4 linked regions of the Pelodiscus sinensis genome follow. The protein of the gene in region 2 purifies or fractionates together with the protein of the main gene of each other region. This does not show direct contact. Links are inferred from orthologs where the notes say so. Each region holds a gene or a part of one and is shown on either strand. Other genes may lie near its edges.

Region 1 (7,337 bases), on a different chromosome or scaffold from region 2:
TGGCTGCCACTACGTTATCAACCATGATAACCCTAGGGCAAAACCCGCCCATACAAATACGTAAAATAAATAAAAGAAAAAAATAAATCAGTGAGTAAAAATCAATTTAAAGCCAAAGCTGGCCCAAACACCAGCCATGTCCTCCCCACCATCACCAAGAGAGAAACTCATGGTCTCACCCTTCACATATGAACTACCAGGTCTTGGATTCAATTTCTGTATGAAATTGGGGAAGATTTAAAAATATGAAAACTTTCAATACATTTAATTTACAGAATCATTATTCAAACTAATATTGATTGTTTAGCAAGTACGTCTACCGTATTTGAAAAAAAACCAAATACCCCCATTGGGAAACAGTCTTTAGATCACAATCTTTTCTCATAGCTCACCTGCTTCCCATAGTTCTGCTGCAAAGGCACCACCCTGCTGCTAAGCTATTAGATTTAAATAGATATGTCAGAAATAGGTTGGCAGGCACCCTCTGTCAAAAAGAGAAGGGAGATCAAGATGTTACCCAGTTTATGATTATTTATTACTACTACTACTGGAGGATGTTCATACTAAAAGTTAAAAGCCAACTTTTTTTGCTCTAGTCAAACAGCATGGCTACATCTAGACTGGCATGATTTTCCGCAAATGCTTTTAACAGAAAAGCACTTTTTGTGGAAAAGCGTCTGTGCCAATCTAGATGTGCTTTTGCGCAAAAAAGCCCCGATCGCCATTTTCGCGATCGGGGCTTTTTTGTGCAAAACAAATCTGTCTACACTGGCCCTTTTACGCAAAAGGACTTTTGCCCAAACAGGAACAGCATAGTATTTCCGCAAGCACTGATTTGTTACATGAGATCGTCAGTGTTCTTGCGGAAATTCAAGCGGCCAGTGTAGACAGCTGGCAGCTGCTTTTGCGGAAAAACTTGCAGTCTAGACACAGCCCATTTGTATTGTAGCAATTTAAATTTCAGGAACTGTCCATCGTTCTTTACTCAAAAATACAAACCGTATCATACAGGAACATTACCAGAAAAGAATTAACTTTGCTTGAGCGTCCCTTATTATTGTGGTGTATTGAGAGATGGATGAAAGTTTTATTTTTTCTTTTTACTGAACATTTCATGTCTTTTACTTGACATTCAGATTCACTTTTCTCCCATTCTTTCTACACATACTTGTGACTGGAGCATTATACACCCCTTTACTAACACTGCATCAGTTTATTTCAGAGGTTCTGACACACTGATGAATAGTATAAAGGCTTCTAAGTCCACAGATATGACAGTTTAGCATTCAGCTCCCTCCCTCCACACCCTTCTGAGTCCCAGTGTGCATTTAACCTTCTAGCTGTGAGAAACGTGACCCCGCACCTAAACAAGGGTAACATACACGCAGACACATGATTTTTGCTTGTCCCTCAACTGACTCTATTCAGGCTTACAGGGAAAGACACTGTAAGATTGGGGAGGGGGAGAAATACATGTCTCACTTGCTCCTTTATTTTGGTATCCTCCATTAAACGCCGACCCACAAGGGAAAAGAAGTTTTATGGTAATTTATAAAGGCACACATGGTACTGAGAGGCTTTTTGGGCTGCAATATTAACACGGTGTAACTGAAGCTGGCTTGATGTTGACAAGATAATACCACCTAGACTAATGGCAAGTGACCCAGTTATATTGAACAAGATATCATGCAGTTCTAAAATGGCAACAGGACTTTGATCGTAATGACTAATATTTTCTTCTGACTCTGAGCCTCCATATTTTTATGAAAATTTTTTGAATATGCATAACTCAAATATGCTTTATGCAAAACAGGACAAGTGAGTTATAATTCCAAAGCCTGTTATCCCAACTACATATATTCTATTTGTGTACATGTATCATTCTTGTGAAGTTAGAAATATGAAGTGCAAACCTGCTTAAGCAGCTAACATTTCTAGTGAAAGTCATTAGTGGCATTTAAGGAACTTAATGGCCTGCTGCTCAGGCCAATGATCTGTAAATGATTTTTGCTTTTCCTTTAAGCCTAAACTGTAGTGGATCCTACAAAAACATGTAACCATGCCACATTAATATACAACTATTCTATAGTCCCTGGGGGTAAGGCTGGCAGCCAGAGCACTCTTGGCCCCACTCTTGGGGAAGCCCCTTAGCACTCCACGCTGCTGCTTCTGTATCAGCTCAGGGGAGCCAGCACCAACTCCCGCCTCCCCCTTGCTATCTCTGATACAGAGGCAACTAAGGGGGGGGAAGAATGTGTGTAATCAATAAGATTAACCAATAAGCCTGGGCTTTTCAGTTAATCATGTATTCAACGACTCCTGGAATCCATCCTGTACTTGGTATTTTTCCACTGGGATGCGAGGAATGGAACAACGACTTCCTGCCCTGGGGAAATTCTATTTAAGGAATGGGAAGCAACCAATGAGTCTTTAACCGTCTTTTGAAACTATGTCCTCTCCTTTTTTTGTGTAGGATACCAGCTTCCCTCTTTTTTGTTAGATCCAGGCCACAGAAAAGATCAGCTCCAATTTGAAGAATTTTACCTGAAATAAAGGCTAGGCAGAGAAATATGAACTGTAACAATCTCTCTTAGTTTATTAGGCTTAGTTGGATTGTTTCATTTTAGATTAGTAACTTTGATTGGTTTTCACTTCTAATCACTTAAATCCACCTTTTTATACTTTTCTTTATCAAACCCAGTGTAAATAATTAGGGGGAAGCAATAACTGTGCATTAGGGATGTTAAATATTGGTTAATTGAATAGTTAAGTAACCTCATGAATTCTTACCGGTTGGTTAGTTGACTATTCTACAATCTCTGGGGGCCGGGGCCGGCAGCCAGTGCATTCCGGCCCCACTCCAGAGGAGCCCCCTGCCGCTTCGCGCTGCTGCCTCTGATATAAAGGCAGCAGCATGGGGTTCCAGGCAAGAGCTGGTCTGTGAGGGGAGCCAGTTTAAAACCCAGCTTCCTTCATGGGACACAGCGCAAGCTAAAACTGAGCTGGACTGCCTGCCCTCCCAGCTTCTAATGCATTTTAAATGCAGAGCTACAGCGGGGGTAGGTCCCAGACCCATCACAAGCCAGGCTGCCAGCCAGCTAAAATATTTACTGCCAAGTGTGGGAGGGAAATGCATGTAATCTATAGTATTAACTTATCAGTTAATCGACTACACTATTACATCCCTACTGTGCATATCTCTTTCATTGATAAAGAGAGAAAACTCTGAGCTTTCTCGGTGTAAAACTTTTAAATGAAGTAAGATAGATTTATCAGGGGTTTTGGTCCCTTTTGAGGGCTGTCCTGGATGCTGTCAAGTCCCTGTACTTGAGCCCTCCCACTGCGATTACCAGCGTCTGTTACTCTGCTGTGGGGGCTATTTTCCCAACCCTGTGCATTTGCTGGGGAAAATCAGCACATCTGGTCCAGCAGGACATGGTGCTGGGGAAGATGACAGTGGCCATGCTGGGCTCCCTGGAGCATAGAAAACACTCCAATCGTTTTAAATAGGTATGGAAACCTAATCCATTATAGGGAACTTTCTGGGTGTCTGGCTGGTGAGTCTTACCCACATGCTCAGGGTTTAGCTGATCGCCATATTTGGGATCAGGAAGGAATTTTCCTCCAGGGTAGATTGGCAGAGGCCCTGGAGGTTTTTCGCCTTCCTCTGTAGCATTGGGCACAGATCACAGCTGAAGGACTCTCTGCATGTTGGGGCCTTCAAAGTATTTGAAGGCTTCAATATCTGAGACATAGGTGAGAGGATTATTCTAAGAGGGGTGGGTGAGATTCTGTGGCCTGCACTGTGCAGGGGGTCAGACTAGATGATCATAATGGTCCCTTCTGACCTTAAAGTCTATGAGTCTAATCCGGGAAGAAAAAAAATTTACCGAACAGAAAATTATGTTTGATTGGGGGGGGGGGGGGGAAGAGAATCTTTTATCAAATAAGAGCTGGGGAAGTGACTAGGCAACAAATCCAGCCACGTTTAGTTGCGCCCCCCCTTCCCCGCAACAGTTTCCTAGAACCCCCCCCCCCCCACACACACACACACTCAGATTTGCACTGACAACTGAAAAGTGCCCGAGTAGAAAGGCTCCCGGCCCCCTTCCCGCTCTGCCCGTCCGGCCGGCCCCGTGGTCCGCCCTCTCCCTCCCGCAGCTGCCTCTGCCCCGCGGCCCCCACCCCAGCCAGCTAAGGCGCCACGTGCTCGCGCGCCCTGCCCGCGGGGGTCCGCTCAAGAGCGGAGCCGGGCGGCCGCAGCACCGTTCCAGCCCGTCCGAGCCCCACTGAGGGAAGTGGGCGGGGCCCGCCAGGAGCCACATCCAGGCAAGGGAGTGCGGGCCCGGCGCCTCACAACGATCTGGCGCGCGGCGGCACGAGAACTCGCCCGCGTTGCTCCATCCCCCTCCCGCACCGCTTCCCTCACAGCTCCTCGCCAGCAGATTCCGCCAAGGCCTGAGGGCAACCCACGCGGCTTCGTTTGTGCTAATGCGCATGCGCGCGGGAGGGGGGGCGGGGAAGAGCGCCTTGTCGTATGGCTGGCCGGGAAGGAAAGTGCGCGAGAGCGGAGGAGGCGCCCGCTACCACGCTGAGGGAGACGGGGTGGGCGTTGCCGCAGAGTTGGAACGCCGGAGGGGGCGTGGCTCGCGTGCCCCTGTTGCAAAGTGCTGCAAGGGTGGTTTGGTTTGCAACAATCTGTCAGCTGATGCGCAGGGCGGCTGCAGCCCTGAGCGCCCTGGGACGGGGCTGCAGGGAGGTGGGGCTGAATTCTGGCTACCACCCTGGAGCGGAGGGGCGCCGTTGCAGACCAGTGGGAGGGACGGAGTGGGAGGTGGGCTGCAGCGCCCCTTCAGACCTGAATTCGTTCTCAAACCAGTGCTACAGCATCGATTCCTCCAGCAGGCATCCTGAGACCCTCCAGCCTATGCAACAGCCTCCGTTCTGCCTCTTTGCAGACCAGTGACTGCAAGACCATCCAGTCTGTGCAGAAGTCCTAAATCAGCCAGCATCAAGTGTGACAATCTGGAACCCTGCTCTTGTCAGTCTTGGATCCTATAAAATCCACCAGAACAGCCTGCAATCCCCCTTGAGTCTGTGCAACAGCCTCAGACCCCTTAGTGCCTATCACAGCAGCTTGCAGTCTGCCTTCAACCCTGCAACAGCCTTGAATCTGCCAGCATCTAGCACAACTGTCTTCATCTTTCATCAGCATCAAATCTACCAGCATCTAGTGTGATAACCTTGAATCCCTCCTAAACCAGTGCAACAGCTTTGAGTGCTCCACCATTCAGCTTAATAGCCTGTTATCCTTGAATTCTCCACCCAGAGAGACAACGTATTTCTTTCCATCCAGCACATTAGCCTCAACTTTGCTTCTGGCTAGCACGGTAGCTTCCAGATTTCTGTCATCTATTGCAACAGCTTGTACTGCTTCAGCCAACGCTAGTGAACCAATTCTTGCACCATCTAGTGCAATAGCCTCACAACTCTGTCACTGTGTCCGTGACTGCTTTCATTCTGGAGTCTTATCACAAACGAGGCAGTTCTCAGTAGCTGTGGCGTGAACCTTATTACTTTACCTTCAGGAAAAATGGAGCTACGTGCTCCTCGGAAGAGCTCAAGTTACCTCTCTGATCTTCATCAGAACATGCTGAAGGCTGAAGAAGCACTGGGTCCAGGCCGGTGGTGGCAGGAGCACCACCAACCACCTAGAAGCAGTACTAGTCTGAGCACCCCATTGAAGAGCGAGCCACAACCAGGTTTCCTTCAGAGCAGCACTACTAACAGTTGTGACCCACACTTGCGGCCTATCATACGCCGACGAGCCAGGTCTTTGCCCACCTCCCCTGAGAGGCTGAAGAGTACAGCAGTGCAATGCCGTGTTCCTGGTTGCAGCAGAAACCGCAGAAACCGGGTGAGATTTGCTGATGCGTTGGGCTTGGAGCTGGCTGAAGTGAAAGTCTTTCAGGTTGGGGAGGACCCATCCATCCCCTTGCATGTCCTCTCCAGGCTTTCCATCAATTCAGATCTTTGCTGTAGCCAGGTAGATATGGAGATCATCATGCAGTGCTTGGTGCCTGACTTCCAGCAGCCTGTGGACTGTGCAGATTTCGCCACCCGCCTTCAGCAGCAGCTGGTATGTCTAGAATGTGTAACCAGCTCTGACCTGGGGATCAGTGGCACTATCCAAGTTCTCAATGTGGCCTTTGAGAAGCAAGTGTCTGTGCGCTACACCTTCAACCAGTGGAAGAGCGTGCATGAAGTGTGTGCTCATTGGCACAGCAGCAACCTTGACAAGAATGGGAAAGGTCAAGCTGATGTCTTCACTTTCTTTCTCCCCATGCCTCCTTTCCTCCTCCAGTTGTGCTCTGTGGTCCAGTTTGCAGTGAGATATCGAGTCAATGGGCAGGAGTACTGGGATAACAACCAAGGTAAGAACTACAGCTTCACCTGCAGGAGCCACCCTCTCAAAATGCCTAGGGAATGTGAGAAGAGCTGGATCCATTTCATCTGAGGAAGAAGACAAGATATGGATATAGAGTGGCTGCAATTGCTGTTGCTGCTTTGGCGTTCCTCTCTGCTTCTCTGGCACCAGAAATCCTTCAAGAGGCAATGATGTTTCAAAAGAGCTTTGGAAAGGATAAGGAGCCAAACCTGCATGGATTTACATCCCATGAGACTTCATGGGGTTCAAGGAGATTTCATAGAATGCAAATGGGGGCAGAATTTGTTCAAAGGGGCATTGTCAGGTTAATATCTCAAAAAGAAAATTGTTTGTTACTAATAATACTTAAACAAAAAAGTTCAAAATTCCAACTTATTTTTCACTGTTTTATACTGTTTAATTTTTTTGCACTTAATGGAAAATAGGTTAGCTTTACTTTTTTGTTATAGTGTCGTTTGTAGTATTACACTGGTTATTGAGTATAATTCCAATGCTGCAAACACTGCAGGACAATGTTTATATGCAAATTATTTGTATTCTTGTTTAAATACATGCATATTTCTATTGATATTTGGTTTCAGTATTATTTAACAAAACCTAACTATTGATCAGAAGCTACCTGATGGTGTCCCCGTAAATAAGGTTTTAACCTGATTCTCTCTTTCTCTCTCTCTCTCTCATTTTTTTATTTACTGTGCTTGCCATTGATAGAGTCAGAGTGATTCTTGCTAAATTGTGTTTCTTAAGCCATAAGGCTGGCCTGGTTGGGGAAAAGCCTGATATTTTCAAGGCGAGGTTCAAGCAGTTCTTTGGATAAAGTTTTAAAATAGAAACTCGCTTCTTTCTTGCATAACTATATTCACTACATTACACCAAAGCAGTTTTGCAC
Region 2 (7,611 bases):
GTGGGGAGCAGGGTGGTGGGGACTCGGGCAGGGGCCACACTCACACTCATCGTAGAAGCCGTAGATACGGTTGATGCTGGCGCACTCGTGGTTGCCACGCAGCAGGAAGAAGTTCTCAGGGTACTTGATCTTGTAGGCCAACAGGAGGCAGATGGTCTCCAATGACTGCTTGCCCCGGTCCACATAGTCGCCCAGAAAGAGGTAGTTGCTCTCAGGCGGAAAGCCCCCATATTCAAAGAGCCGCAGCAGGTCATAGTACTGCCCGTGGATGTCACCTGGGGAGGGCAGGAAGTGAGATAAGGATCACCCTCCAAATCCCCCCCCCCGAAGAGTCACCTCTGGAAAGGGCCAGCAAGGGGGCCACAGTTCCACCCCTGACCTCCCACCCAGCCCGGTCTGAGCCAGGGACTCCACCCACAGCAAACAAGGGGTGCAGGGAATCCCCACATCATCTCTCCCACGGCAGCTCCCGCCCCCCAGCCTCACTCACCACAGATCTTGAGCGGCGCTTCCAGCTCCAGCAGGATGGGCTGGCTCAGGAAGATCTCCCGCGACTTGAGGCAGAGGCCCCGGATCTCGTTCTCCGTCAGCTGCACATTTTTGCCAGGCCGCGAGCCTTGCACTGCAACATAGAACAGTGGGTGTCTGCTGGGTCGAGGTCCTAGCTCCTGCACTGCTCAGAGACACTCCCACAGATCCCAGGGCCACTCCACAGATGCTGGAATGATCCAGGGGGCCACAGGGCTGAACCCGGAGGTTCTTCTGGACAGGCCCGTGTACCACATCCCAGCCAAAGGCCAAGGGTTTGCCCTGCCCCTTCCACTTGAAGGCCAGGTTAACAGGTGACTCAAGACCAACAAAGGGGGAAGGAAGAAGGCACCACAAGAGTCCTGGCCTAGCCTGGGTCCTCACTGATCTGTGCAGGCAGCTCAAGGAGGCGCAGTTAGGCTGGGATCACACAGGCCCCTTGGCCAGAACCCAGATGGGCTCTTCAAACACTAGGACAGCTGGGAGGCCCTGAGCCCCTCTCCCTCGTCCTGCTGAGTCAGCCAGTGCCCCCCACCATGGAGTAGGATCGGAGTTGGTGCATGCTAGAGGGAAGCCTATTCCCTACTCCCTAGCTCTGGAGTGGCCAACCTGTGGCTCTTCTGAAGTTAATATGTGACTCCTTGCTCAGGGCACTGACTCCGGGGCTGCAGCTCCAGCTGCCAACCTTCCAGTGCTCAACTCGGCTCCACCTCCTCCTCCAAGTGTATCGCACCCTCCCTCCTTTCCTCCCCCACAGAGCCTCCTAAGTGCCTTGAAACAGCTGATTGCAGTGGGCAGGAGGTACGGGAAAGAAAAAGGAGGCGCTGACCGGTGGGGCATCTGGTGGGGAAAAGATAATGGAGACGGGAAAGGAGGCACCTGATGGGGACTGCTGACAAATTACTGTAGCTCTTGGGCAATGTACATAGGTAAACTGTGGCTCCTTCTCAGGCAGGCCACACTTGCCCTACTGGTCACACTGGAGTGCTTTCCGCCACCGCACACTGCAGAATACACAAGCTTCGAGAGGCAGGTGGCCCAGCAACTGATGCTGGACTGGCATGCTGGGTTCTTTCCCCACCTCTGAATTGCTCTAATCTTAGGCTGCTTCCGTCCCCCATGCCTCAGTTTCCTTACGTGCCTCGGTTTCCTTATATGACACAGGGAACCGATGCCTCTGCTTTGCAATATGTGATGGACAAGAATGGGAGATCACATAATCTGCCATTCAGCACCTGCTTCAGCCCAGGGTCTAGCCCCAGTGGTCTGCTGCCAATCTGGCCAACGTAGCTGGGGTCCCCTCCCCCCCCAACACCCCTAGTGTTAAAAGGATCAGGGAAGTAACAGCTAATCTCCCCCACACATTTTGTTGGCAGCACTGGAACAAAGAAGTTAGCACTAGGAAGACTGGTTAACACCTCCCCCCTCCCCGTTTCACATATACACAAGGGGGGGGGGGGGGCTGGCCAGGAAAGCAGGGGTTACTCAACATTCCCCGCACCTACTCTGGCCCCAGGACTGCTCAGGCCGGTCCCAGCCCTCCAGAACTCAGGCTCCTCCCCACACTCCCCCAGGGCTTTCAGGAAGAAGGAAACTGACGTCAGACACAGCAGGGCTCTGGGGGCGGGTGGGGTGAAGGGAGCTCGATTCCCCCCCGCTCCCCATAACTAATGTTGCTGGGGGCCGGCCTGGGGGATAGTCCCCATTCTTTGCGTGGAATTAAGTGGCGGGGAGGGTGAAAGGCCAGGAACACCCCACTCCCTGCCCCCCTCTTCCTCCACCAACAGCCACACTCTTCCCCCCATCTGAGATCAAGCCCCCACCGCGCCTCCAGGAATAGGAGTCTCTAGCTCCTCCATGGGGCCTATGGGCAGCGCGCCCCACACGGGGCTGCAGCGAAACGGACCCGTCAGGGGCCCGGGGCAGCGTGGAAGAGACCACTGGAGCTCCGCGACCCCCACGCCGCCTTCCCGCGTAGGGGCCAGCCCCGGCCCTCCTTGCACCCACCCACTCCCTGCGCCCAGCCCCGCGTGGGGCCGCCCTCCGCCCGGGATCGCCCAGCCGGCAGGAAGAGCCGAGCGAAAACAAAGGAGCGAACGCGGAACTTCCCGGAGCGCCCGGCCCGGGTCTTTGCAGCCCCGGGGCTTCCCGCAGCCCTTCCCGGCCGGCGGCCCAGCCTATGCACGGGGGGGGGGGGGGGCAGGATGCAACCGGGCAGCCCCCCCCCCCACGCCCGCAGCCCCCTGCTCGGGCCTCCCCCGCACCTTCCAGCAGCCGCCCAATGATGGAGTCCAAGTTGAGTTTCTCGCCCTCCGACATGGCGGCTTTGCGGAGGGGCAGGCCCGGACGCCTGGCTTCCTGCTGCTGCACTCGCCCCCCACCCGCCTGGCTGCGCTAGGTCCGGGCCGACTGGAGGCTGCTGGGGCCGAGAACCTGCCGGCTCTGCCGCTTTCAGCCAGGAGGCGGGTCGGGAGCGCGCGGCCTGCCGCCCCACCTAGAGGAGCGGAGGGATCATTGGCAGCCACCCGCCCAGAGCCCCGGGGGAGGGGCGCCGTTCCGCAGCCCGTCCCCTGCCAGCAGGGGGCGCTGGCTGCCGGGCGCTCCCAGCGACACCAGCCGGACCTCGGCCAGCACAGGGAGTTATGGGGAGCGGGGTGGGAGCGCAGGCTGCAGGTGGAGCACGGAGCTAGTCTAGACCCGGCCTCTGCCGGCAGGGGGCGCTGTGGGGGTGGGGCACTAGCTGTAAGGAGCTCCCATCTACACTAGCCCGGCTTCTGCCAGCAGGGGGTGCTGGGGGGTGGGGGCACTATCTGTAAGGAGCTCCCAGCTACACTAGCCCGGCTTCTGCCAGCAGGGGGTGCTGGGGGGTGCGGGCACTATCTGTAAGGAGCTCCCAGCTACACTAGCCCGGCTTCTGCCAGCAGGGGGTGCTGTGGGGTGGGGGCACTAGCTGTAAGGAGCTCCCAGCTACACTAGCCCGGCCTCTGCCAGCAGGGGGTGCTGGGGGGTGGGGGCACTAGCTGTAAGGAGATCCCAGCTACACTAGCCCGGCCTCTGCCAGCAGGGGGTGCTGTGGGGTGGGGGCACTAGCTGTAAGGAGCTCCCAGCTACACTAGCCCGGCCTCTGCCAGCAGGGGGTGCTGGGGGGTGGGGGCACTATCTGTAAGGAGCTCCCAGCTACACTAGCCTGGCCTCTGCCAGCAGGGGGTGCTGTGGGGTGGGGGCACTAGCTGTAAGGAGCTCCCAGCTACATTAGCCCGGCCTCTGCCAGCAGGGGGTGCTGGGGGGTGCGGGCACTATCTGTAAGGAGCTCCCAGCTACACTAGCCCGGCCTCTGCCAGCAGGGGGTGCTGGGGGGTGGGGGCACTAGCTGTAAGGAGATCCCAGCTACACTAGCCCGGCCTTTGCCAGCAGGGGGCGCTGTGGAGGTGGGGGCACTAGCTGTAAGGAGATCCCAGCTACACTAGCCCGGCCTCTGCCAGCAGGGGGCACTGTGGAGGTGGGGCACTAGCTGTAAGGAGATCCCAGCTACACTAGCCCGGCCTCTGCCAGCAGGGGGCGCTGTGGGGGTGCGGGCACTAGCTGTAAGGTGCTCCCAGCTACACTAGCCCGGCCTCTGCCAGCAGGGGGCACTGTGGGGAGGGATGCTCACTCTGAGAGCAGGGGGCGCTGTGGGGAGCAGAGTGGAGGCACTGGCTGGGGGCGAGAGGGAGTGCCTGGCTACTCCAGTCCCAGCCTCTGCCAGCAGGGGGCACTGTGGGGAGGGATGCTCACTCTGAGAGCAGGGGGCGCTGTGGGGAGCAGAGTGGAGGCACTGGCTAGGAGCGAGGGGGAGTGCCTGGCTACTCCAGTCCCAGCCTCTGCCAGCAGGGGTTGCTACAGGAAACAGGGTGGCAGCACTGCCCCACATACACTTCCCCCTCCCCCACCCGCATGCTGCTTGCTGCCTCAGCCCTGTCAGGTGCAAAAGGAAATGACAGTGCGGAGGAAATAAGCTTGCAGCACCCACGGGGAGTGCACCAGACTGAGGTGCTGCCACGGGACAGATGCAGGGCCACACCGCCTGGGCACTGCTCCGTTGGGAATGGCCCAGGGCATGAGCTAAGGGGACTGGACACAGTGGAGGTGAGTGGGAACGGGGGAGCAGCTCAGTGGGAGGGCTCCTGGAGGGGCAATAGGAGGCGATAGGAACCTCCCTGAGCTGTACTGGGGCCAGGCTTGGAGGCAGGAGAGAAAAGAGAAGGGGGGGGCAGGGTTCTGTGTGAGTGTGGGAGAGGGATGTTACACGTGTTCCCTTTCCAGTACACATAGGGCTAGAGGGGTTGGGCCTCAGGACCAGGGGATGGGAATGCAGGGGCTCTGGGCTGGAACCAAGGATGGAAGGGTCGGGGTTCAGAGCCCTGGGATGGGCAGATGCTGGGGGGGAGGGGTCCTGGGCTAGGTAGACCCTGGGGAAGATGGGAGCACAGGGCCCTCCACTGGAACTGAGGGGAGATGAGGGTGAGGGGCCCTGAGCTGAGCAGACCCTAGAGGGGAAGAGTCCTGGGTTGAGCAGATCCTGGAGGGGATGTGGGTACGTGGCAGATCCTGGGGGAGATGGAGGTGTGGGCCTGGGTAGGGCAGACCCTGGAGAGGATGTGGGTACGTGGCAGATCCTGGGGGAGATGGAGGTGTGGGGCCTGGGTAGGGCAGATCCTGGAGGGGATGTTGGTGTATGGCAGATCCCGGGGGAGATGGAGGTGTGGGGGCTGGGTAGGGCAGATCCTGGAGGGGATGTGGGTGTGTGGCAGATCCTGGGGGAGATGGAGGTGTGGGGACTGGGTAGGGCAGATCCTGGAGGGGATGTTGGTGTGTGGCAGATCCTGGGGGAGATGGAGGTGTGGGGCCTGGGTAGGGCAGATCCTGGAGGGGATGTGGGTGTGTGGCAGATCCTGGGGGAGATGGAGGTGTGGGGCTGGGTAGGGCAGATCCTGGAGGGGATGTGGGTGTGTGGCAGATCCTGGGGGAGATGGAGGTGTGGGGCTGGGTAGGGCAGATCCTGGAGGGGATGTGGGTGTGTGGCAGATCCTGGGGGAGATGGAGGTGTGGGGCTGGGTAGGGCAGATCCTGGAGGGGATGTGGGTGTGTGGCAGATCCTGGGGGAGATGGAGGTGTGGGGCTGGGTAGGACAGATCCTGGAGGGGATGTGGGTGTGTGGCAGATCCTGGGGGAGATGGAGGTGTGGGGCTGGGTAGGGCAGATCCTGGAGGGGATGTGGGTGTGTGGCAGACCCGCATTCCCACTCACCTCCACTGTGTCCAGTCCCCTTAGCTCATGCCCTGGGCCATTCCCAATGGAGGAGATGGGGATGTGGGACTCTGGGCAGTGCAGATCCGGCGGGGATGGTAGGATGGGGCTTTGGGTGGGGCAGTCCATAGGGGTGATGGGGATGCGGAGCCCTGGGCTGGGCAGACCCTGGAGGAGATGGAGGAGCAGGTCCTGAATGGAGCAAACCTTGAGAGGGGTGGAGGTGCAGGGACATGGGGGTGAGGGGACCCTGGGCTGGGAAGACCTTGGGAGGGATGAGAGTGCAGGCTGCTGGGCTGAACACACCCTGAGGGAGATGGAGGTTCAGGGCCTGGGCTTGGCAGACCTGGATGGGGGTGCGGGCCCCTGGGCTGGGCAGACCCTGAGGGAGATGGGGGTTCAGTGGCTGGGCTGGGAAGACCCAGAGGGAGATGGGGGTGCAGGCCCCTGGGCTGGGAAGACTCTGAGTAGGATGGGGGTTCAGTGGCTGGGCTGGGCAGACCCTGAGGGGGATAGGGTGAGGGACCCTGAGCTGGGCAGAACCTGGCAGAGATGGAGCAGGGACTGTGTGATGCAGACCCTGGGAGGAATGAGTAAGAGGGGCCTTGGCTGGGCAGCCCCTGGAGAGGACGGGGAGAGGGGCCTGGCAAGTTATACTTCAGGGTTGTCTCCTGGGATGTTCGTTTCTGGGCTGGCCTTGCTGGGCACTCACTGCGGGCCCCTGTCCCTGCCCTCCCTCCCCTGCAGGGTGCTGAGATCACGGCATGGCATCCGGCCCTATGTCCTCCGCTGACTCCTCCAGCCTCAGCACCCTGGAGGAGCTGTCCGATGCCTTTGACTCCACCCTGGGGCGCCATGATGACTCCAGCTCGTTGGGCTCCGACTCTGAGCTGAATGGGGCTGCCCCCTATCGCCAGACGGACCGTTACGGCTTCCTAGGGGGCAACAGTGCCCAGGATGGGTGAGTGGGACACATCTGGGCATCGGAGCACTAAAAGGGGGGCATTGTGGGGGCGGGAGGTGCTGTGAAGGGCATTGCTGGGGTGGCCCAGATGCCGGGTTCTATTCCAAGTCCTGATTTCTTGCACCCTGGAGCCATTGTGGGTACTGGACTGACACCCCCATTGCCAGCCCCGCAGAACAATCTCTTGGGTTCTGTGCCAGAATCCAGCATCCCCCCCTTCTGTGCACTGAGGCTATGGGGTGTTCAAGCCCAAAGAATGGACATACGCGGAGAAACTGAGCCCCTGGCCTGGGGATGAGTCAGGCCACACCCCAAGCTAAGAGTAGCAGCTTGTGGGTGTTGCCCTGCCCCCTGCCTCTTTCCGAGTCTTGCTCCTCCTAGGGGTGGGGCAAAAGCAGGGAAGGGGTGGAGCTTGGGGAATGAGGGTCTTGGGCACTGAGGAGGGGGACAGTTTGCAATTCTTGCATCATGCCTCTGTGCACCAGTCCCCTCTTCCTAACAGCCTGATGTAAGAGAGCCCTGGCCCAGGGGACCTGCCAGTGGTGCCCCCGAGGGTCCCTACACCAAGCTGCTAATGAGCCAGTTCTGCCAGGAAGGCACAATGGCCCAGGGCACCCCGGCTCACGCTCTGTTCCTTCCCCCAGCTGGGAATCACAAGGAGGTGCAGTGTCCCAAGGCTGGATTCAGGCAGAGTCGGCTTCAGCAGCCTCATGGCTGGCTAAGTTGGGGTTGCTGGAGCTTTTGGGGTGGGGTTCGGAAGAGTCTGCACCAATAGTCTCCAACCTTTTGAAGCCCAAGATCGCTTTTTGAATTTAAGTGCAATCCAAGATCTA
Region 3 (7,927 bases), on a different chromosome or scaffold from region 2:
GCACACAGCGTATGGGTGGCCCCGCCCCCGGGTGCCCGGCAGCCCCAAAAGGTTGGGGTCCACTGATCTGTCTGATTTCATTCACAGGCCTTAATGTGCTAGGCTCTGTGCGCACAGAACGTGCAACAGACAGCCCCCGCCCGGAAGAGCTCACTATCTATCCAGATGAGGGAGGGAGACTGAGGCAAGGGGAGGGGAAAGGTTTTGCCAAATTCACAGTCCAGTGAGTGGCAGGGCAGGGAACACACCCCAGGGCTGCAGTCCAGAGCTCTACCCACTAGGCTGTGCTGCTTCTCAACCCAAAGGGAGGAAAGGAAGACAAACCTAGGGGGCACTGACGTCACATGGGTTACGCACAGTTGGCCCCGCTCGTGCTTCTCAAGATGGAACGAGATGGGGGTTGGGGTTGGCTCCTGATGACTGGAGCTGAGGCTGGGCCTCCCTCCCCGGATGAGTGGAGAACGGTGGGAGCAAAGCGAGGGGAACAGCCGTACTGGCGGCCATGTCCCAGCCCTATGGTGCGCAGGGCTGCCCAGTGTGGGGAGGGATCGGCAGCACTGATGGGGCAGCTGCCTGTTCTGTGATTTGCTGCGGAGCAGCCTCCAACGTGGGGCTGGGAACCCAGTGCCCCTGTGCCTCAGGGCTGGACGGGCCCCGTACATGGGCGCAAACCCCGGTGGGTTGGCAGCTGGTGACCACGCTGGCCCTTTATGACAGTGGAGGCTCAGCGGTGACAGGTTTAGCTGCGGTCCCAGGTGAAAGGAAAGAGGGATACAGGGAGCATGCGACTAGGCGTGTGGCCTGTTGGGAGACACAAGGGCCGCCTGGGAGCAGCATTCAGCAAAGAGCGATTCCAGGAACAGTAGTATAGGGCTGTCACGTCACGTCACTTTATGACAGGCTAAGTGCAAACCTGGGTTGTGCTGAGCATATAGGAAGAGACGCTGGGGAGGAAAGACAAAACAGGCTGCACAGTAGGGTACATAACCCCATTCTTTAGGTAAATAACCCCATTTTTTAGGGCCGTAGTACCGGAAACCCCCAGAAGAGGGTGGCTTTTAATACTCCTTCCCTCTTTTGCAACTCCCTGTATTGAATTTACAAGGAGGAAAGTGTGAGAGAAGGGATGTGATTTAACTCCTGTGTCAGACCAAGTCTGTCCCCTAGGTGTGGGAATTGTGGGTACTGATGGGGGTGCTGCAGCTCCCCCAGTTTTTGTGCAGGGTCCTGGCCACCAGGCTGTGCTCAGAGTCCCTGGTGCACCTGGGAGCCTGGCTGCAGGACTCTCCTTCCTGGAGCACTGTTCCCAGCCCCACATGTGGACCCTGGCTGCAACTGGACTTGCACCCACAGCTCTGTTCACAGCTCCTGGACTCTGTCTGTGGGGTCCTGGCTGCTCCTGGCCCTGCACTGAGGCTCTGTTCCTGGCCTCGCACATATGGCCCAAGACATGGTCCCTTTACCCCTCTGCATCCCCCACCCCCCAAGAGCTACAGGCCTGCTCCTGGCCCCAACTCTGGGAGGTGGAGGACACAGACAGGAGTAAGGGGGTGGGGTGAGGTAAAAAGTCTGGGGTGGGCCCCACTGGCTTTCAGGAGACCCGCTATAAAAATGTTCCAGTTTGTCCCACAATGCACACGCCCACGTTAAGGCCTGCAAAATCGAATGCTGAAGGCAGCTCCAGTTGGCGCCGGTGCTCCGCACAGTCTGGAGGAGGAAGGGACGCCGACGGGAGCATCTGGTCCCATTGGCTTCCCACTGTGAAAAAGAAGCCAAGCTCGGATTAAGGTACGCCGACTCCAGCCACGTATTTTATGTAGCTGAAGTCGCGTACCTGCAGCTGACCTTCTGGCTCCAGTGTAGACCTGGCCTGAGTCCTGCAATGCCGTGGGGCCAGGGTTCACTGGCTCTGGATGGTGCTTGTCATGGCAGCTTGCTTTCTCTTTAGCAGAATGAAGTTGTGATTTGAGGCCAAAAACGTGCTGGGTCTAGCCGGATCCTTGTGCCAAACGTATATTTTCCATCTGCTGCTCTAGAAGCCTGTTTTTTTTTTTTCTGGTCAGCTGGATTAGAAAGTTTATTTTCTTTATTGATGGTTTATTGATTGATGGCTTGTGACCAAGAATGGGTAAGATCCAGCTGGCTGTGTAGGTGCTAAATAGGTGGTTTTCTGTGGGGTGCATTGAGATCTGCATTTTTCAAATTGCAAAATACCAAGTGTGAGCAGGATCTGAAGGAATGTGTCCCTTATAGCTAGTTGGAATGGGAGAGAAACCCTGGGTGTGTTTATTACGTAAACACCGCTTGCTCCTGCTTTGCTTAGATTTGCTAGTCAGCAGATGGAGTGGTATTGCGCTCATTGTAATCCACGTCATTTGTAGCCCAACACCCATTGGCTACGTCTAGACTGGCATGATTTTCCGCAAATGCTTTTAACGGAAAAGTTTTCCGTTAAAAACATTTGTGGAAAAGAGCATCTAGATCGGCACGGATGCTTTTCTGCAAAAAAACCCCGATTGCCATTTTCGCGATCGGGGCTTTTTTGCGCAAAGCAAATCTGAGCTGTCAAAAGCTTTGCACAAAAGGACTTTTGCCCGAACGGGAGCAGCATAGTATTTCCGCAAGAAGCACTGATTTCAGACAGTAGGAAGTCAGTGTTCTTGTGGAAATTCAAGCGGCCAGTGTAGATAGCTGGCAAGTTTAGTCTTGCTAGTCTAAACACAGCCATTATGTTTTCCAGGTATCATAAGGGTGTCATAAGGAGGAGGGAGAAAACTTGTTCATCTTGGCCTCTGAGGATAGAACAAGAAGCAATGGGCTTAAACTGCAGGAAGGGAGGTTTAGATTGGACATTAGGAAAAAGTTCCTACCTGTCAGGGTGGTCAAACACTGGAATAAATTGCCCAGGGAGGATGTGGAATCTCCATCTCTGGAGATATTGAAGAGTAGGTTAGATAAATGTCTATCAAGGATGGTCTAGACAGTGCTGGGTCCTGCCATGAGGGCAGGGGACTGGACTCAATGACCTTTCGAGGTCCCTTCCAGTCCTAGTATTCTATGATTCTATGTTTATACGAAATGCAGGGGGAGCTGAAATATGGTTACTGATGTTTTTAGTTTTGGAGGACTCCAGAAAAGCAGGGCTGTGCTAAATTGTTCCACATGAAAGAGCTCACAGCAGAAAGATTCTTGCAAATGTAGGGGCTTGAGTGTCAGAGCTCTGAGGGTAAGAGAAGGTTATCCTGGTCAGGAGGTGATGTGGTTTCCCCTGCCTGGACTGGTTTGACCTAATTCCTCCCACTGTTCAAAGAGCAGAGCTAAATAGACATCAGTAGGTGCCTCTTTTCTTATATTAATTGTGTTGGAGTTTAAAGACTAAGGGGGTAGCCTTGTCCTGACTGCTCATTATATAGAGGGTTTTTTTTAGGCTCTAAGACCTCGTTTCTCAAACTGTGGGTCACGAGCAACTTAGAGGAGGGTCCAGTATCAGAAAGTTTGAGAACCTCTGCTCTAAAGTTACGTCTACACAGCAGCATTATTTTGGAATAACATCCGTTATCCCGAAATAACTATGTGAGCGTCTACACAGCTAACCTGTTCTTTCAAAAAAAAAATTCGAAATAATGGGCAGCTTATTTTGGCCTTTGTAAACCTCATTTCATGAGGAATAACGCCTGTTTCGAAACAGCTATTTTGTTCCACTGCTACTATTTCAAAATAGCTCCTCCCCAAGGCATTCAAAATAATTACTCCCCATGTACAGATTGACATACACTGGCCACACACACAGAGGCTATACACAATAGAAATGTAAAGTGGACACACACAGCAGCAGAGACACACACACTGGCCACACACAGCAGAGATGCACACAACACACACGGATACACACACAGGCTGTACACACCAGACACACACACACTGGCTACACACAACACACATGGATACACCCACCCACACCAGAGACGCACACAACACACATGGATATACACCCACCCACACCAGAGATGCACACCACACACATGGATACACACACCCACACCAGAGACACACACCACACACATGGATACACACACCCACACCAGAGACACACACAACACACATGGATATACACACCCACACCACAGACACACACTGGCTACACACAATACACATGGATACACACACCACACCCACACCAGAGATGCACACCACACACATGGATACACACACCACACCCACACCAGAGATGCACACCACACACATGGATACACACCCACACCCACACACTGGCTACACACCACACACATGGATACACACCCACACACCCACACACCGGCTACACACAACACACATGGATACACACACCCACACCAGAGATGCACACAACACACATGGATACACACACCCACACCAGACACACACACACTGGCTACACACAACACACATGGACACACACACCCACACCAGACACACACACACTGGCTACACACAACACACATGGATACACACACCCACACCAGACACACACACACTGGCTACACACAACACACATGGACACCCACACCCACACCAGAGATGCACACAACACACATGGATACACACACCCACACCAGAGATGCACACAACACACATGGATACACACACCCACACCAGACACACACACACTGGCTACACACAACACACATGGACACACACAGACACACACACACTAGCTACACACAGCACACATGGACACACACTCACACAGGTTGCACACACCAGACACGCGCAGCAGGGACGCGCACGCGCACATGGACACGCCCCCCACTTAGGGACGCCGGGGCGGGGCCTCGTGACATGTGGCGGGTCCCAGGGCGACGCAGCCTGCGCTCGGCCCCGCCCCCGCCGCGGACTTAAAGGGCCAGCAGCCCGGCGGGGGCGGGCCAGGCTGTTTGGGGCGCATCACGTGAAGCTGACTATTTGTCCGCGGCCTCTTTCATTAGTAGCAGCAGATTCGCGCCTTGTTTTCGAGCCCCAGCGCGCGTCCGGCGCCTAGGGAGTAGGCAGCCGCCTCAGGGGGGCGCATCCTCAGCTTCCCCTCCCCCCCCGGAACGCGCCCCCAGTGCCGCGCCGAAAGTGCCGCGCCGAAGCCTCAGCCGCCTTCGCCCGGTGCTGGCGGGCTGGCCGCCGCCGGGTGCGTGCGACGACTCGCAGCGGCTGATTCGCTACGGAGACGACCCTTTACCGGAGCGTCCCGCGGCGGCCGGCCGGCCCTGCCCGCGAGGCCAGGCGGCGGGATCTTCCCCTCCTCGGTGCCGCGGCGGCGGGCGGGGCCCCGCGCCGGGCGGGCGGCCGCCGCCCGTGGCGAAAGTGCGGGCCGCGGATGGGCAGGCCGCTGGCGCACTCCGCGGGCGGCGGCTTCTCTCGGGTCCGCCGCGCCAGACCGCGGCTGCGCTCGGCGGCGGTTCCCCGGCGCGCGGCCTCCCCTCGCGGCCCAGCCCTCAGCCGGGCCTGCGCGGGCGGGGCGGGGGCGCCCGCGGAGTGATGCCGCCCGGGCCCCCATGAGGCGGGGAGCCATGGAGCGCGCGCCGCGCCCCCCCCGGCAGCCGGACGCGGAGCCCTGCGCGGGCGCGGAGGAGGCGGGGGGCGGCCGAGCGGGGCTGCAGCCCCCGGGGGGGGCGGGCTTGGCTCGCCTGGAGGAGGCCGGGCGCCCCCCCCCGCCGCCGCCCAGCTCGCAGGCGGCGGGGGGAGGGGCCGCCCCTGCCGCCCGGGGGGGCTCGGAGCGGGGAGCGGAGCCGTCGGAGCGGGGAGAGACTCTGGCCGGGAGCCACCCGCTGCAGGAAGCCGCCTCGTGCCCGCCTGCGGAGCGGAGCAGCGCGGCCGCCGACAGAGGATGCCCGGAGGAGGAGGAGGAGGAGACCTCCCTGCCGCAGGGGAAGCCGGCCTCGCCGCCGTCCCGCCGCGGTGCTTTGGACTCCGACGCCCCCAGCCCGCAGGGCGACCCGCGCGTGGAGCCGCCGTGTGAAGAGGGCAAGCTGAAGAATGGAGCAAAGCGGGTCACGTTCCCTTCCGACGAGGACATCGTGTCTGGGTCTGTGGAACCGAAGGATCCCTGGCGACATGGTAAACTTTGCAATTCACTCGCGCTCTTCTTCTCAGGCTGGTTTGTGCAAATGGTATATTGCCTGAATCGTCCTTAAAACACAACACAGAGACAAGCACCTTAAACAAAATACAGGGCTATGTAGCACTTTATGTAGCACTTTGAAGACTAACAAGATGGTTTATTAACCATCTTGTTAGTCTTCAATTCACTCGCGCTCTTCTTCTCAGGCTGGTTTGTGCAAATGGTATATTGCCCGAATCGTCCTTAAAACACAACACAGAGACAAGCACCTTAAACAAAATACAGGGCTATGTAGCACTTTATGTAGCACTTTGAAGACTAACAAGATGGTTTATTAACCATCTTGTTAGTCTTCAATTCACTCGCGCTCTTCTTCTCAGGCTGGTTTGTGCAAATGGTATATTGCCCGAATCGTCCTTAAAACACAACACAGAGACAAGCACCTTAAACAAAATACAGGACTATGTAGCACTTTATGTAGCACTTTGAAGACTAACAAGATGGTTAATAAACCATCTTGTTAGTTTTTAAAGTGCTACATAGTCCTGTATTTTGTTTCAGCTACACCAGACTAACACGGCTACATTTCTATCACTAAGCACCTTAAAGACTAACAAAACACGTCGATGAGATCGTGAGCTGTCCTGGGTGCAACCCACTTCTTCAGATGACCGGAGAAAGAAGTGGGTTATGCCCATGACCGCTCATGATACCAACATGTTTTGTTAGTCTTTAAGGTGCTACTAGTCTACTTGTTGTTTTTTTAAGTTTTTCCTGTTACAGACTAACTTGGCTACCCCTCTGAAGCTTCTGAATAGTCCTGTTAACTTCAGTGAGGATCTGTCCGCGTGTTAAAGGGAATTGTTCCCAAATGAAGCAGAACACTAAATTGCTTATGTTTGTGGTATAACAGGAAACTCGGAGATGACTTTTCTATAAAATGTTTAAATATGCTTTAAACAGAACTAAGCAGTTTGTTTCAGATTTATACAGCTGTACTACCCATTTGGTCCTTTGAGTGTACACAGGATCTTTATAAAAATTAGTCAATAGTTAAGAGGAGTTTTGACTAACATTAAAGACTAACAGATTTATTTGGCCATAAGTTTTCGTGGGCAAAGACCTACTTTGACTTTGTGGTTCTTTACCCATGAAAACTTATGTCCAAATAAATCAGTTAGTCTTTAAGGTGCCACAGGACTCGTTGTTTTTGCAGATAAAGACTAACAAGGCTACCCAATCAATAATTAGAATCCAGTGACAAGAACTGAAAGCTAAACTGATATTTATTAAAACTTAAAATACAATGATGGTCCTGTAGCACCTTAGAGACTAACAAAATATATGAGTAGTGTCCGGAGCTTTTGTGGGCACAGCTCACGTCTTCAGATCCATATTTGTTGTCTGAAGAGGTGTGTTGTGCCCACGAAAGCTCATGATAATATTTATATATTATTATTAGTCTCTAAGGTGCTGCAGGACCTTTGTTGTTGAAGTTTTTTTTAATTTCAGGCCAACATGGCTACTCCTCTGTGATATTTATTAGTTATAATATGCCGGCCTTTTAATGTAAATGGCCATTCTGCACTGTTTTAAGCACTTTCCTGATCCAGGTGTCTGTAGGACTGAAGATTTGAAAAAATGTAACTTTGTCAGTAGCACAACTTTTTCACACTTTGTAGTTGTTGAAAATAATACCCTTGTTTAGCAGTCCTCATGTTGTTGTTGTTTTTTTTTCTTCTGATTTTTGCATGACTGACTTAGGAAACAAGCAAACTTGGTCTCCTGGAAATGTAAAGAAATAATGATCTCTCCACTTCGTAATGTTTTATCATAGCA
Region 4 (6,896 bases), on a different chromosome or scaffold from region 2:
TTCTATCCTTCCCCTTCTGTGCTGAGCACCACAGCCCCTCTCTGTGTCCTCCTGGGTCCCCACGGAATCTACTTGGTTTAAGCAGGCCTGCCCCTCCAATTCCTTCCTGTTCCAGTCCCTCCAGATGTGCTGAAATCTGCCCTAGTCCCGCCCCAATATAACTGGGTAAGTGAGCTTTGGGGCTAAGGCCACTCAGCAAATTGTTTCCTCCTTCCCTTCGGCCAGATGGACCCATGCGGTCGGGGCACTTCCCCATGCACACATTGCATACGCAGCGGGAGCCCTGCCGACTAAAAGTGCCTCACTAAGTATGCCCTCACGACGGTTTGGCTACAGCCCGTATCCACAAGGGCCTCCACTGGCGTGCCCTCCACGCGGACCCTTACAATTATTCTCCCTCCTCCTATGGGTTGTTCCCTTTGGGTTACCGTTAACACTTGCCCAAAGGGGCGGTCCCATCTAAAATGGCCCTCTTGGCCGCATTCGAAACACATATTCTTGGGCTCTGCCTTACTCAGTAGAGTAGGGTTACCCTCTTCGGGGCCAGCTTGCACTCTTGCGGGGTCCTCTCTTGAAGGGCTAGGCCACACGGGAGCCAATCGTTGTCCCCCACTGCCCCCCAGCCCTGTGGTGGCTTTCTCTTGATTCTCTCCGCCCTTTTGGAGCCCAGCTATCCCCCTCTGTGTGGCCGGCGTCTCTCTTTTTGATGTACCCTTCTCCTCTATTCCCTCTGCTGCCAGGTAGTCTGCCATAAAGCCCACAGCTTTGTTGAGGAGGTGAGGTGGTGTCGCCGGACCCATCGCTGCCTCTCAGTGGGCAGGATCTGTATAAACTGTTCTAGGAAGACCATCTCCACCACCTGCAACCCAGTTTCCTGATCGGGCTCCAACCAACGTCGGCTGGATTCCTGGAGCTTCTGGGCCACGGCCCTCGGGCGGGCCCGGGGGGGGGGGGTGGTAGCGCTCCTGGAGGAACCTGTCAATAGGTCTCCAGCATAACCCCTAACTGATCTAGGATCACCTCTTTGACCTTGTGGTAGTGGAGGGCCTCCTGTACCGAGAGGCTGCGGTAGGCCAACTGCACTGGCCTTGACAGATAGGGGGCCAGGAGGGTAGCCCACTGATCTTCTGGCCACCCAGGCAGTGGTTGCAACTCTCTCAAAGATCACCATATACGCCTCTGGATTGTCTGTTGGTCCCATCTTCATTAAACGTATTGGTAACTGGTACCCGCTGCCAGGGCCAGCCTCCATTGGCCCTGCTGGTCCAGGTGCCAAGGGTTCTACGGCCGGGTGCCGCTGCGGCCATCTCTCCTGCTGGATCTGTTGTTGCTCGTATAACTTCCGTAAAAGTTGCCTTTACTGTTTTTGATTCAGCTGTGTCTGTTGTTGTTGGTGCTGTCTCTTATATTCCGCTATCCATTCTAGCAGCTTGGGGGTCTCCATCTGAGACCCCAAATGCTTTCTGAAAAACCTTCCTAAATAAAGTAATAAGTCTCTCTCTTGGGGCCGCCCAGGCCCTCACCCGCACCCCACCATCAATCTATTATCACATCTATCTATCTACACCTACTCCTTTTTTTTTCTTGACCCCTCACCTCAGGGATGGGACAATACCCACATTCTCCACCACATGTAATCCTGCTGGAGAGGGGTGTACCGTCCTACCCTTCCCCCGTCCCCAGTGGTCAGCCCACCAGGCCTTAACAACATCAGTTCTGCATTCGCGGGGACCGCCAGTGCAGCGTGTGTTCCTAGTCCGCCGGCACCCTTTGCAGCGTGACCAGTACTTAAGGTTCAGTACAAGATTGGTAGGGTGAGCAGCAAGGGAAGGTAGGGGGGCTCGGGCCTGCCTTCTCTCCGAGCCCTGACGCAAAGCCCTAAGAACCAGAGGGTTTGTCCCTGGTCTGGTTGGTGGGGTTGTGATCCGCAGCACAGCAACCCACAGGCTATCCATAAGCCACGTCCTGGGCCACTTCCTACCTTCCTCCTGCGCCCTCCAGCTGCTCCCTCCAGATGGGCAAGTCTCTTTTCTCTCATGCTGGCAGCGTGCCTTTTGAACTTCCCGCCGGTGCCATGTCTGATGTAGAGAGGGCCGCAGCTTCACGCTCGGCACCTTCCCTTTACTCTCACCAGGATTGGAAGGGCTGTCCGGCATTGCCGGCAGCTGCCAAGCATGCGCGGCAAAGTCGGGGCTGGGCTTGGGGCAGTGCCTCGCTTCAAAGCTCTGGGGACGGCAACAGCTAGTGTGCAGGGCGCCGGGGCATCCCTGACACACCCTGTAATACCTACCAACTAAATATGCTTTATCAAGTATATCTTTTTGTTTTGTTAATAAAATCACCTTTTTTTAAGATGATGATTTGAGTCTTGTGTCCTGGAAAGAAACAGGAAGTCTGTCTGTGTGGGTATGTCTGCCTGCCTAAGACTGAGTGGTCAGCTACCAGAGACTGCAGTTTATTTTCTCTTTGTTTTTTCAAGCTCTCTTATGGTAAAAGAGCTTGAGCTATCCCAGGGGAAGGAATTCAAGTGTTCCTCCCCTTTTTTTAGGGTTTAAATCACTTGATGGTGGCAGCTTTTTTTTTCTCAGAGCCAGTGCATCTGTGACTCTAAGACATTTTTGTAAACAGAGTCTATGGAGGCAAGATATTTAAGGTCTCTTGTGGGCCCCTATCTTCTGCACTCGGAGTCCAGAGTGGAGAACAGCCCGGACACCAGCTAAACATGTCAGTAAGGCTAATGCTTACCTGGTAACCAGTTAACCTTTTACATCTCTACCATGTGCCCCAAGCCCTGGGTTTAGTTGTGGCAGGAATTCCAGGATCTGCCTGGAATGAGATGGTTTTCCATAACATAGAAAGGGAGAGGGCTGATCAGAGGGACAGCAATATTGTAGAGTGACTACTGGGAGCAGCCACACCACCAAGAGAGTGGCAAATTAGTTCTGGGACTTGCCATTTTGCCGGCCATCGGACTGTTGGCCCGTCCCCAGTCCCACCCCCTCTGCTGAGGCCCCACCCCCTGAGAAGGGGAGGAGGTGGGGCAGTGCACTGAGCGCTCCACAGTCACTCCGGAGCACCAAGGTGGGTCGGAAGGTGTGGAGAGGGAAGGGGAGTGTGTGTGCAGTCCAGCTCCTGGAGCATTAGGGGAGAGGAGGAAGTGGTTCCAGCCTTCCTGGCCTGGTGCTGAGGGCAATAACACTCTGCCCCCAGAATGCCTACAGTAGACGCTCTGGAAGTGGAATGTGGGCATGCATGGCCAGGTTGGTGGTTTGGGAAGGCAGCGCCTTCCCTTGCCTAAGCCATTGGATGCCCACGGACTGGTAAGTGACTCCCTGCCTCAAACTCATCCCTTTGCCCTTGAATGTGACACTGGATTGTGTGCTTTGCTAGACAGGTGGAGAAAGCCCAGCCCTGAAAACACATCAAAGGGCAGGGTGTATGGCCCCCGCCAACCCAGCCCCAGGAATATGCCAGCTTGGTCCCAGAGACATGTTGGTGTGTAGGGTGCACAGGGCAGTGGGTGGCCACCGGCCCTGCTCTGACTCCTGCACCCTCAACACCATGCCCTGAAAGATCTGGGGAATGCCAGGTAAATCTTCTAGTAAACTCTTTGTGAATTGCTGTATGATTTACAAATCATCTTCTGGAGTGCCAGTTTCCCAAACTACTTGGGAGATATTGCTGGATTCCCTTCTCTGGAATTAAGTTTTCTTATCATCAATGCAAAACCTGGAAATGATTGTGGGGAATGTTGGCCCACTAGCAATATTTACCTAGTTAACAAAGAAATGTCAGCAGTATCTGGGCTGTTTGTGTGCTTAAAAAAAAGGAACCAGTGTAGACCTATCTGCTTAACCCAGCAAAAATACATATATTGTAGTTCCAGATTGTTTTGTTTTCATTTGTGACTTGCTTGCACGTTGTTCAAAGGCCACTTAAAAACATTAACGGAGGGCGGAGGAGAGTCCACCTCATGCCTATCCTCATAGGCCTGATCCTGCAATAAACTCTCTCCTGGAGCTTCCTGTCCAAGTGAAACTTAAAGTGCAGAGCTGGCCTGACTCAGGAGAGGTCCGCTGGCGTCGGTCTGGCCTGCGGAGGATGCCCCGTGTCTGCGCCCCCGCAGGGGTGAGGCCGGAGTCAGAGCATCAGTCTCACCTGCGGCTGCCGGGCCCCCTTTCCAGCGGGGTCGCAGAGCCAGCGGGAGAGTCAACAGGAGCCTAGAGCAGGTGCACGGCCCGCGCTCAGGAAACCGCCTCAGTCCCCGCGCCAGTGGCTCAGGTCTCCAGGGAGCAGGTTGGCGCGCGGCTGTCCTGTGGCCGGTGTAACGACCGGCCCGGCCCGGGGGTGAGTGCCATGGCTACGGCTCAACGGCCGCGCGCGGCGGGAGGAAGTGACCTGCGCGCAGACCTGGGGGAGGGGACGGGGCTGGTGAGCTCGTGGCCGGAGGCGGCGCGCCCGGCCGGGCTACTGGAGGCGCCCAGGGGGCTGCAACAGGGTCACCGGCGCCCGCCCTCGCCCCTCCCCGCGGACTGGCCGTGCGGCCGGACTGCAGCTGGAGCGTGGCTCGTCCCCTCCCCGGCGGAACAAACCATTGCGGCGCGGCGCGGAGGTGAGGCACCTGTCACCCGCCGCCCGCCCTCGGCGACGGTTGGTGGCAGCGCACCCCCGCGGGGCAGACGTTGCGCAAGCCCGGCCCCCAGGGAGCCGGGGGGGGGGGGGCTGCGGCGGGGCGCGGGAGCTTCCTCCCCCCAGCTCCGTGTGCGCGGAGCGTGTCGGCGCCCGAGCCGCCGCTGCCTGCAATGGCGCTGAGTAGCGGAGTCGGAGGCTGCTGCCCGCTGACAGGCTGGGGGCGGCAGCCGCGCTCTGCCTTGGCGCGGGCGGCTCGGAGCCGGGGGCTGGGAGAACTGCGGCTCTGAGCGCGCAGCCAGCCCGGCGCGGCGTGCAGCTCCTCGCCCGGGTAAGGGGTCCGGCGCGCACTGGGGAGCGGCGGATCGGGGTGCCGCTTTTGTTTGCTTCCCCCCGCGCCGGGACACTGAGCTTTGCCCCTGGGTCGGCCAGGGCTGCTGCTGCCCGTGCGCAAGGTGGCTCCTGAGCCGGCGCGGATGGGATCCGCTCGCCTTTCGGTCCGGAGAAACGGGTTCTTCGCAGCACTTCCCCTTTCAGACAGGTTTGCTCGGTGTCGCCAGACAGGATCCTTTTACCTTACCTTAGCCTTTCCTTTTCTTTTTATTATGATCATTGCAAACATCGGCTGGAATCTGTAAAGGGGGAGGGAAAGAGAAATGATCAGTGGCTAAGAAAAAACCCTGCTAATTATACCCGCGTTTCTATAATTGGGATTTTTTTTTACAAAATTAATGATTCGCAGCATAGGTGCTGGAACTAGGACTATTGGGGGTGCTGCAGCACCCCCGAGATTAAAGCGATTTCCATCATATACAGGATTTACAGTTTGGTTCAGTGGCTCTCAGTACCCCTGCACAGCCTTTAGAGCCTTAGCTGTGTGCAACCCACTGCTGCTTGTGCATGGGTAGCTGGCTGGGCTTGAGTTTGAAGGTTTTGCTTTGGAGATTTAAGTGTGTTCTCTATCAGTAAGGTAATGAGGGGATTGTGCCTTAATAGCCACGTAATATTTCTTAGTCTAAAATGACCTCTTAGGCTTAAAGATTGGTGAATAGATGTGTAAGATACTTGATCCATAATCTTCTTGCTCTAAAGTGCTAGGTGTGACTGCAGCGGTATAGCATTCCTCCCTCTGGGTAAGGAGCACAACATCACTCATGCATTGCATTTGGAGCTTGCAGCAGTAAATGATAGCCTTAGAGAGAAAAAAGGAACCAGAAGGACACTAATGAGTGAGATTTTGCTCTCTGTTAGTCATATGTTGTTCCCCTGCAGTCCTTGGGTCTGATGTTCAGGCTGGAATCAGACCCAGTCTCATTCTTTATTTTAAACACCACTCAGAGCATCTCCTGCCCAAACTGAGAATCTCCAAATTCATTGTGGTGCATCATATCACTTTCCGTTCAGTTTATTATATTTAAAACAGTCTTTTTAGCTTAGTGACTTTGGGCATGCAGATGTGACCGGGAAGACTTAACGCTTTAGCCTGTATCTCCATGTTTTACAATACATTAGATGTTTCTATGTTCTTTGTCATTCTAAAATAATACAAGAAGTGGAAAGGGGCAAGTCTTATTAAATTTCACTTCACCATTTTATACACAGAACTATACCTTTTGGTGCAATTTTTAAAAATTCTTTAGCGCTGTTGTTTCATTGTTGAATGATTATTCATTGAATAGAAACACTATTCAAAGCATATTGGTGAGTAGTTCAGTGAAAACCTAGGTGGAACTGCAAATGTTAGTGGCTCAGGGAAGCACAATCATCAAGTTTGCATGAAATATTTCATACCCAGATACAAATAGCTTTTTCTATATATTTCTTTTTATTTTGTCCCTTATCATCTTCAGTGAAAAAAAAATTGACTGCAATGAAACTTTGGTAACATAATTTTCCTTGTAATTTTATTCTTTATAATTTTGTGTTTCACTGCAACAAATTTATTTGTGTTGTAATATGTTTGTAGCATAAATATGAACAGCACAAAATTGCCATGTTTCATAGTGGCATGTTAATAATTGGTACTTGGAAAGAAATGTTATGTGAGCATGCTAACTTTTTCACACTAACTGTTGAATCTTTAACAAATTGGGTCTGCTTTAGAATTTTAATACATATATGTGTATTTTGGTATTGATGCTGTGTGAGGGATGAATCCCTGTGGGTTTTTTTGTATTTTTTTTATTAAAATTGAAGTTATTGATTAGATGAGAAAAAATACAAATGCATAACTTGACTTTAAATGTTGTACTTTTTGTTGCAGGTTA

What was found. Proteins that work in one complex are often made in the same cells at the same time.
Region 1: the proteins of PPP1CA (region 2) and PPP1R3D purify together in Homo sapiens (affinity purification with mass spectrometry; 3 studies listed by BioGRID and IntAct, counting the BioPlex papers as one, with this or other methods). This does not show direct contact. The link is inferred for Pelodiscus sinensis from reciprocal best matches to the Homo sapiens genes PPP1CA and PPP1R3D.
Region 3: the proteins of PPP1CA (region 2) and PPP1R37 purify together in Homo sapiens (affinity purification with mass spectrometry; 3 studies listed by BioGRID and IntAct, counting the BioPlex papers as one, with this or other methods). This does not show direct contact. The link is inferred for Pelodiscus sinensis from reciprocal best matches to the Homo sapiens genes PPP1CA and PPP1R37.
Region 4: the proteins of PPP1CA (region 2) and PPP1R9A purify together in Homo sapiens (affinity purification with mass spectrometry; 3 studies listed by BioGRID and IntAct, counting the BioPlex papers as one, with this or other methods). This does not show direct contact. The link is inferred for Pelodiscus sinensis from reciprocal best matches to the Homo sapiens genes PPP1CA and PPP1R9A.

What each region holds. Positions count from the first base shown.
Region 1 is NC_134728.1:11,448,751-11,456,087, forward strand, and holds PPP1R3D (protein phosphatase 1 regulatory subunit 3D), read left to right. Parts: upstream 1-4,318; 5' UTR 4,319-5,593; coding exon 5,594-6,517; 3' UTR 6,518-7,016; downstream 7,017-7,337. UniProt on the Homo sapiens protein: Seems to act as a glycogen-targeting subunit for PP1. PP1 is essential for cell division, and participates in the regulation of glycogen metabolism, muscle contractility and protein synthesis.
Region 2 is NC_134714.1:127,062,096-127,069,706, reverse strand, and holds the start of PPP1CA (serine/threonine-protein phosphatase PP1-alpha catalytic subunit), read right to left. Parts: upstream 3,005-7,611; 5' UTR 2,848-3,004; coding exon 2,793-2,847; intron 623-2,792; coding exon 491-622; intron 276-490; coding exon 45-275; intron 1-44. Other genes in the region: TBC1D10C (carabin), read left to right, coding at 4,462-4,647, 6,038-6,053, 6,571-6,775. UniProt on the Homo sapiens protein: Protein phosphatase that associates with over 200 regulatory proteins to form highly specific holoenzymes which dephosphorylate hundreds of biological targets.
Region 3 is NW_027465849.1:7,336,477-7,344,403, reverse strand, and holds the start of PPP1R37 (protein phosphatase 1 regulatory subunit 37), read left to right. Parts: upstream 1-4,908; 5' UTR 4,909-5,522; coding exon 5,523-6,084; intron 6,085-7,927. UniProt on the Homo sapiens protein: Inhibits phosphatase activity of protein phosphatase 1 (PP1) complexes.
Region 4 is NC_134712.1:211,751,469-211,758,364, reverse strand, and holds the start of PPP1R9A (neurabin-1), read left to right. Parts: upstream 1-3,877; 5' UTR 3,878-4,347; exon of another isoform or gene 4,348-4,612; intron 4,613-4,731; exon of another isoform or gene 4,732-4,960; intron 4,961-5,025; exon of another isoform or gene 5,026-5,170; intron 5,171-5,210; exon of another isoform or gene 5,211-5,261; intron 5,262-6,892; 5' UTR 6,893-6,896. UniProt on the Homo sapiens protein: Binds to actin filaments (F-actin) and shows cross-linking activity. Binds along the sides of the F-actin. May be involved in neurite formation. Inhibits protein phosphatase 1-alpha activity.